Linked DNA regions of Canis lupus familiaris. The protein of the gene in region 1 interacts with the protein of each later gene in a pairwise test. Links are inferred from orthologs where the notes say so. Each region holds a gene or a part of one and is shown in the gene's direction. Other genes may lie near its edges.

Region 1 (3,180 bases):
TTCTATTTTTAACTTTTTGAGGAAACTCCATACTGTTTTCCAGAATGGCTACACCAGTTTGCATTCCCACCAACAATGCAAGAGGGTTCCTTTGTCTCCACATCCTCATCAACACTTGTTTCTTGTATTTTTTATGTCAGCTGAGGTATGAGGTAAAATCTCATTGTAGTTTTGTTTTCCCCTGATGAGGAGTGATGTTGGGCATCTTCTCATGTATCTGTTGGCCATCTGATACTTCTTTGGAGAAATGTCTGTTCATGCCTTCTGCCCATTTTTTAATTGAATTATTTGTTTTTGGGTGTTGAGCTTTATAAATTAATTATAGATTTGGATACTAACCCTTTATACGATACGTCATTCGCACATTAAGTACTGTGAAGATGAAAACCTCACTATAAACCAATGATTAAGTGTTGATGTTCAAAAATCGCATATTCATAATAGTGTGCTCTTTGAATCAAACTGTTCATTAAAATGAATCCAACTATGATGTGAGGTATAGTCCCCATTTCAAACTGAGTTACTTACTGTGTATATCTAAGTAAGTCTAGAGCTCCCTGATATCAGCCATTCCTGGTTACATATTTGCAACAATAAATTTAAACGATCAGATGTTATATTTACAAATTGTAATGGTAAAAATGTGAATAGATCATACATATAGCTAGACATAAGTTAAATGTATTCCTCTTCCTGGATAGCTATCCCTATTATTCTAGTCTTTATTAACTAATAAGGACTTGCGGAGCCCTCAGGGTACACACAGTGCTATGCTGGCAAATAAAAGAAGTAAAAGACACTGTGTCTGCCCTTCAGTGCTTGCAGTTTCAAAATTATGGATAACTTATATTTTCTTATAAGTAAGAGGACAATAAAGGAATATCCTGTAGACAGAATCTATGGGTAAAGATCAGGTATTTACAACTTAAAAAAGAAAAGATGCTACTGGACTAGGGGAGTCAGGAAAGGCTTTATAATGCTTTATCAAGTCTGTGGTGGAGTCTTGGCATGTGTGTAGGATGCAACCTGGAAGAGAAAGGGGACTCTAATCCAAGACAAGAAGTGTGACACAATAAAACTGAGGACAAGCGTAAAGGAAGAAAAATATGTGTGGCACATTCAAGGGATATTGACTGTAGGTCTTGTCTCAGAGTTGAAGATTGATTTTAGTGACCACTTGGAAATGAATCCTCAGAGCTGAGGGACAAAATACCTTTGTGCTGAGCTAGAGAGTTTGAACTTCATCTCATACACTCTACTGACAGTAATCATTCTCTGATATATATATATATATTCTGCTTTTTGCCACAGCTGAATTCCATCATGATTAAAGAATGTATTTCATAAAATCTTATAAACTGAGATGCAAAAAGGAGAATGAAAAGACATTGGAAAGCTTTAGGGTCTCAGGAAAGAAAATTGCTTTAGGGCCTCAAAAGTCTGCTTATTTTCAGACATCACTTAGTTACCTCTTGGTTACCATTCTCTGAACTATGTTTTATTTCCAGTGTTTTTATATCTACTGAGGTTTTAAAAAAAAAACCCTCCCCCAAATGCTGTATTGCTAAACTATTTAGCCTTGGAACCAACACCCAATTCTTCCCATTCTCCCAAATCCGTAACTACATGGTTGTTAAATAACAAAAACTCCACTGAGTAAATTTTAAAGATCTAACTGGATTTATGAATTGATTCATAAATTGGGCAGCATCCCATCTAGGAAGTAGAGGGAGCTCTAAGGAGCTTATAGAAAAGGAGAGGTTTTTAAAGGCTGGACAAGGAAGTCACAAACAGAACAGAGAATTATTCCAGGTGAGGTCACCTTCCTTTGGGGAGAAGGGTCTTATTAGGTGATTACTTCATGTTTCTCTGGGAGATGGGGAGAGACCATGTGACAGAGTACCATATTGATGCTGACCAGAAGATTCCAGAGTGACCAGTTAAGACTATATTCCTGGGGGACATTGAAAGTGCAATTAGATTAGGTATAAAGCTCAGGTTTGGTGGTGTGGTCTAGCATAAGTGACTCTGTTTGGGGCCTGCAGTTTTCTTTTTCAGAAAGTCAAGGATAAGGGGGCAAGCACCTCAGAGCCTATCATTTATTATTCATTTTATCACCCTCAAGAATTTGGATGTATTAAACTGCTCTTGTCCTCCGATCCCAAAAAAACTTGGAGACAATTCCTTTAGGGGAAATATGAGTCTGGTTGTTTAGTTAAAAGCTAAAAATGCTACTTGATATTGGGTTCTTTGACTAGAAGAGTCCCCAGGGGTCACCATGCAGCTCTGGTCTCTCCCACAGGTGGCCCCAGTGATTAAAGCCCGAATGATGGAGTATGGGACCACAATGGTCAGCTATCAGCCCTTGGGAGACAAGGTCAATTTCTTCCGCATGGTTATCTCAAATCCCGCAGCAACTCACCAAGACATCGACTTCCTGATTGAAGAAATAGAACGCCTTGGACAAGATTTATAATAACATAGCTCACCAATCTGTTTCGATTCTCTAGGTAGACAATTCAGTTGTCACAAACTGTGTGAATGTATTTGTAGTTTGTTCCAAAGTAAATCTATTTCTATATTGTGGTGTCAAAGTAGAGTACAGTTTAAAAATCCAAAAAACATTGCACCTTTTAAAAATCCTTTCCTAAGTTTAGAATACCTCTCTAAAATTAGTGACAAGAGGCTGTGTTCTAATCGATAATGAAAAGCTTAAAATTGTTATAAATACTTCCCTTACTTTTAATATAGTATGCAAATCAAGCTTTATTTTCACTTCAGAGTAGTAGGATTGAATAGTGCCAAATTGCCCCTGAATCCTAAAAGGTTCTTTGGGGTGCAGTCAAAAGGAGAAAGTACATATAAAATGTATGTTGACAATAAAAACTCTTGCCTTTTTCATAGTATTAGAAAAAAATTTCTAATTTACCTATAGCAACATTTCAAATGTATTTAAATACATATAATTTTACAAAAGGAAAATATATATATTAAAAAGAAATCCTATTTTGTAACATATAGATTTTTATTTTATATGGGTTATACAAACTGCAGGGGCAGATATAAAAACTAAGCCAGATTTTTTTTTCTCTTTCTTTTAATGGAGGCACAATAAAACACTGAGCAAAGTTATTCTGAAACATAGGCCCACAAATTCTTAAAAAGGATAATGCCTTCTCT
Region 2 (4,294 bases), on another chromosome or scaffold:
GTTGTAATGTTTTGTTCTAAAGGAAAAAAAAAAAAAAGTCAACATTTTCTTAGGTGGGGCATCCACCATACTGCAGCAGAACAAAGTGCATGAAGCCATGTAGGATTGCCTGAAACTTAAGAATTTAGGGATACTTACCTGTCCATGTCCTATTTCCACCATTAGCTGCCCTTTTCTTGGCTGTTGTGAAGTTAGATGGGATCCTGTAGCTTCTTTTTATCATTACTGCCCCCATGTTTATTTCTTTACCCACCAGCCTGTTTATTTCTAGAGATACTATTTGGTAGAAGACTGTACCATCGAATCTTTTTGAGTTCCTCCTATACTCCAGATAGGTACTAACTTCTTTACAGCTCTTCTTGCACCTGACCTCACTAAAACCCTGTGACTGTTTCCCAGGCTGCTATTGCTGCAGGTCACAGAGGAAAGGAAGGTCCATCTAGGTCCCTGGATGGATAAGGCCTGAGAACTCTGCAGTAGCAGGCCAAAGCTCAGGCCTGTCATTTTACAGATGAAGCCCAGGCCCAGAGAGGTCACTCACCCAAGGTCACACGGTAAGAGCCAGCCCTGAGATGAGAGCCCAGGACTGTCGGAACCCCCTCCCTCAGACCCTGGTCTTTACCAGTACCTCTATGGCAGTGGTTCTTAACAGAAACTGTGCCCTGTCACAGGATATTTGGCAATGTTTGGGGACATTTTTTTGGTTGTCACAAGTGGGAGGAAGGGGATTACTACTGGCATCTAGTGGGTCGAGGCCAGGGACACTGATAAAAAGTCAGCACAAGGATGCCCCCTCAGTACAAAATTTTCCTGCCCAAAATGTCAATAGCGCTGCCCTTGGAGAAACCCTACTCTATGGGCCAGGATTTGGGGCCAGGGAACATGTGCCTGGCTCTGACGTGGAACCAAGGGCCTTGGGTTTAGACTTTTTCAATTATAAAACGTGGAAATGATAACCTAACCCATCTTTATGGCTCTCGCTGGTTCGTGGCACCTGCGTGAGTCGTAGTAGCTAAAACTTGCCAGTCAGGCCGTACCTCATCGCTGGATGTCCTGGCCTCCAGGATTGCTTCCAGGAGAGGTGGTTCAGGTGTAGGTATTTAGGCAGGGGACGCCCTAAGACGCTGTGCAAGCCGTGCTCAGAGGCCAAGTGCACCTGTCTCGGCGGTGGCCTGTGCACGCTCACTCCAAGCCGAGAGTGTAGGGCAGGCCTCATTTTCCTCAGCTGTATATTATTGAGGGCCTGTCAGGGTGGTTGTAAAATGCTGAGGCGGAGAGCGCGCTGTGTGGAGCTCGCGGCCGGAGGCCTCGCGGCAGCTTCGCGGTCTTCCTCGGGAGGTGGGCGGGGAGAGCCGAGCCCTGAGGGGCGGGGGAAGGGGCGGGGCGAGAGCGGCCGGAGGGCGAGAGCGTTGGAGGGGGCGGGGTCAGGGCGGTGGGGGCGTGGTCAGGGCGTGGAGGGGCGGGGCCAGGGACGTGAGGGGGCGGGGCGAGGGCGGAGGACGGCGGCAGCCTGGGTGGGGCAGGAAACAGGCGCCAGCTCCCGCCTGTGCGCACTAGAGTTCCTCCCTCTAACGTCTCTCCCTGCTCCTCTTCCTCCTCCCCCCACCGCGCTTCTGTGCCTCCGCCTGCAGACCCTGGCTGGACAGCGCGGCCGCCAGGACCGGTGAGATTCGCATCTCGGATGCTAGGGTGCAACGTGCCCGGGCTGGCTAGGTCACCTCGCGGGGAGGGGCATACGAAGCGGCTCGGGGGCATGGGTTGAGAGGGTCTCCTGCGCTGTCCGCAGTTTAGTGAAAAGGAATGTCTCACCCTTCGGAGCCCCCAAGACGGGCTGGGAACACACGCACTTCTTCACACCCACCACTAGATTTGGTAAAAGGGTTGCCAGCGCATCCCACCCCACCCCCCGAGACCTTGTCCCTTCTTGGGAAACCTGGCGGGGGAGTCTCCAAACCCTCTCCCCGAGATTCATGAATATGGGTGCCCTCCTTCCCGCAGGTCTCTCTTCTCTACCGACACCGCGGAGAGGGGCTCTCCAGGGAACAAAGGTGGATTCTTCTCCCCCACATTAATGACCGGGTACTCCACTCCCCCGTGAACGCCCCTTTCTTAGCCTCTGTGCTCTCTCGCGTGCGGACCCTCCCCGTCTGCACCTGCCTCTCTTTCTCTTCCCCTCTGCGCAAGGATCCCTAGAAGCTGGGCGCCTGCTCCACCTAGCGTCTTCGAGGGTTGACCGACTGTAAGCAGATGGGGAGGGGGCGGCCTGGGGCGGCCCGAGGCGCCCAGCTTTCCTTTCCCCCAACCGGAGATGCACCCCCTCTCCCTTCCAGCTGAAACGCTGGGGTTGGCCGTTAACTCTGGGAGGGGCTGGAATGCAAGAGCCGCGGGTCGGATTGGCCAGTGGTCTTTTGGGTCAGCCTGGAGGGCCCGGGAGAAGGCAAGGAACTTGTGAGCCGCGCTGGGGATCCCAGGTTGCCCTCCGCTCCAGAGACTTCTCAGTGCCTGGGAGTTCCCTCTGTAGAGTGGCTGGGGATTGGAAGCCAGGTGGATGTATTTGATGGCTGTGGCCCATGACATTCTACCCATGCTCGTTACCATCGGACTCCCCAAACCGGTCTGGGTGGCCCTTGGGTTCCCTAGACCTCTGGAGACCGGTAATGGGAGCTGGGCTTGTTTCTGTCTGCTGCAGAGATGAGAGTAGGAGAGCTGAGTCCTGGGAACATCCCAAATACGAGATGTGTGCCAGTTGGATCTTCAAAGATCCAAAGGTTTCCTGTTTCACAAACGGAGCTGTAGGAAAGGCTCTCTAGCTGGAGTGACGAAAACGTACTTTAAGTTGCATTTTAGACCCTCTAGGTATTGGTAAAGTAACTTTCTCCCCTTAACTCACATAATTACCGTGTGGTATAAGTCAATATGGTAAACAGGTGTCAGCATCACTTAGTTAATTTTGATCACTATAACAGAATCCTTGAGGCTCTTCTTTTTTTTTTTTTTTAAGATTTTATTTATTCATGAGAGACAGAAAGAGGCAGAGACACAGGCAGAGGGGGTAGAAGCAGGCTCCATGCAGGGAGCCTGGTATGGGACTCGATCCTGGAACCCCAGGATCACTTGCTTGGCTGAAGGCAGGTTCTCAACCTCTGAGCCACCCAGGCATCCCTTTTTTTTCTTTTTACTATCAGTAGTAAGGAGGTCATTTATAAGGGTGAAATTGTGTCTAGCCCTACAGTTCTGGGAAATAAAAAATGAGAATGATATATTTGTTGATATTTAAAATCCAACAAGGTTGAAAAAGAGATCTTAAACAAATTGGTTTTGTAGTCACATGACTTAGGACAGTCCTGGAAATTAAAGGCTGTTGAGTCACAGTGTATAATTGTGGCTAGGTCTGCCCTTGAGACACCTCTCCTGTTAAGAGGACACTTACAAGTCAACAGAGAATGATTTATGGTGCTATAAGGTTGGAAGCCAACCTGTTTAGTGTGGGTAGTCAATAAAGAAGTTGGCCACCATCACTGTTAAAGGTTTTTGGTGGGGGGTGGGGGGAGGCAATGAGGGGCTTGAAATAGTGTATTCAGCTTTCTTGCTTCTATATTCTTTGTAGCAGTTTGTCAGACTGAAAAAATAAGCCCCCAGAGATAATACCATTAACATTTAGGTATTATATGATCTATATCCTTCTAGGTCTTTTATTTTACTATGGAATATAGACATAAAATACATATATTTATGTAACAATATAGGATATCTTAAAAATTTTTTTCACTTATCATGAATGTGTTTTCATGTCACTAACTAGATGTCCACATTATCAACAACTATGTAATACATCTTATGAACTTATCATTATTTAACCAATTTCCTACTGATACACAGCTTCTTTCCAATGTTTTGCTGTTTATTATATATTACACATAGAATTGCACTGTACATCCTTTTTGTATGTTTTGATACACCTATTTGATTATTTCCTTCAGATTACTGAAAAATACATTGTTGAAGGTATGTGTGCTTAGAAATTCTGATATTGCCAAGCTACCCTTCACCTGCACACCTACCATCAATGTGTGAGGATAGTAGAAGCTTTTGTTGAACTAGCTAGGTGAATATTATACTAATGGTTCAAGATTCTTTTTGTTTCACCAGTGACAGCAAGAGACTGGGTGACATGAGAGATTCAACTGTGCCCTGCCCGGGACAGCTTACTGATAGAAGAATTGATCTCTAAAGAGACTGGGCATTGGTTTCAGGATGGCAAAAGAGGATCCTCCGAGTACCTCAAAGGACTTGC

The links.
Region 2: the proteins of GAD2 (region 1) and TMEM159 interact in binary tests that used the Homo sapiens proteins (3 or more experiments, as listed by UniProt). The two-hybrid records come from large-scale screens. The link is inferred for Canis lupus familiaris from reciprocal best matches to the Homo sapiens genes GAD2 and LDAF1.

The regions. Positions count from the first base shown.
Region 1 is NC_049223.1:5,176,571-5,179,750, reverse strand, and holds the end of GAD2 (glutamate decarboxylase 2), read left to right. Parts: intron 1-2,302; coding exon 2,303-2,476; downstream 2,477-3,180. UniProt on the Homo sapiens protein: Catalyzes the production of GABA.
Region 2 is NC_049227.1:24,499,160-24,503,453, reverse strand, and holds the start of TMEM159 (lipid droplet assembly factor 1), read left to right. Parts: upstream 1-1,491; 5' UTR 1,492-1,663; intron 1,664-1,998; 5' UTR 1,999-2,048; exon of another isoform or gene 2,049-2,079; intron 2,080-2,421; exon of another isoform or gene 2,422-2,544; intron 2,545-4,149; 5' UTR 4,150-4,254; coding exon 4,255-4,294. UniProt on the Homo sapiens protein: Plays an important role in the formation of lipid droplets (LD) which are storage organelles at the center of lipid and energy homeostasis. In association with BSCL2/seipin, defines the sites of LD formation in the endoplasmic reticulum.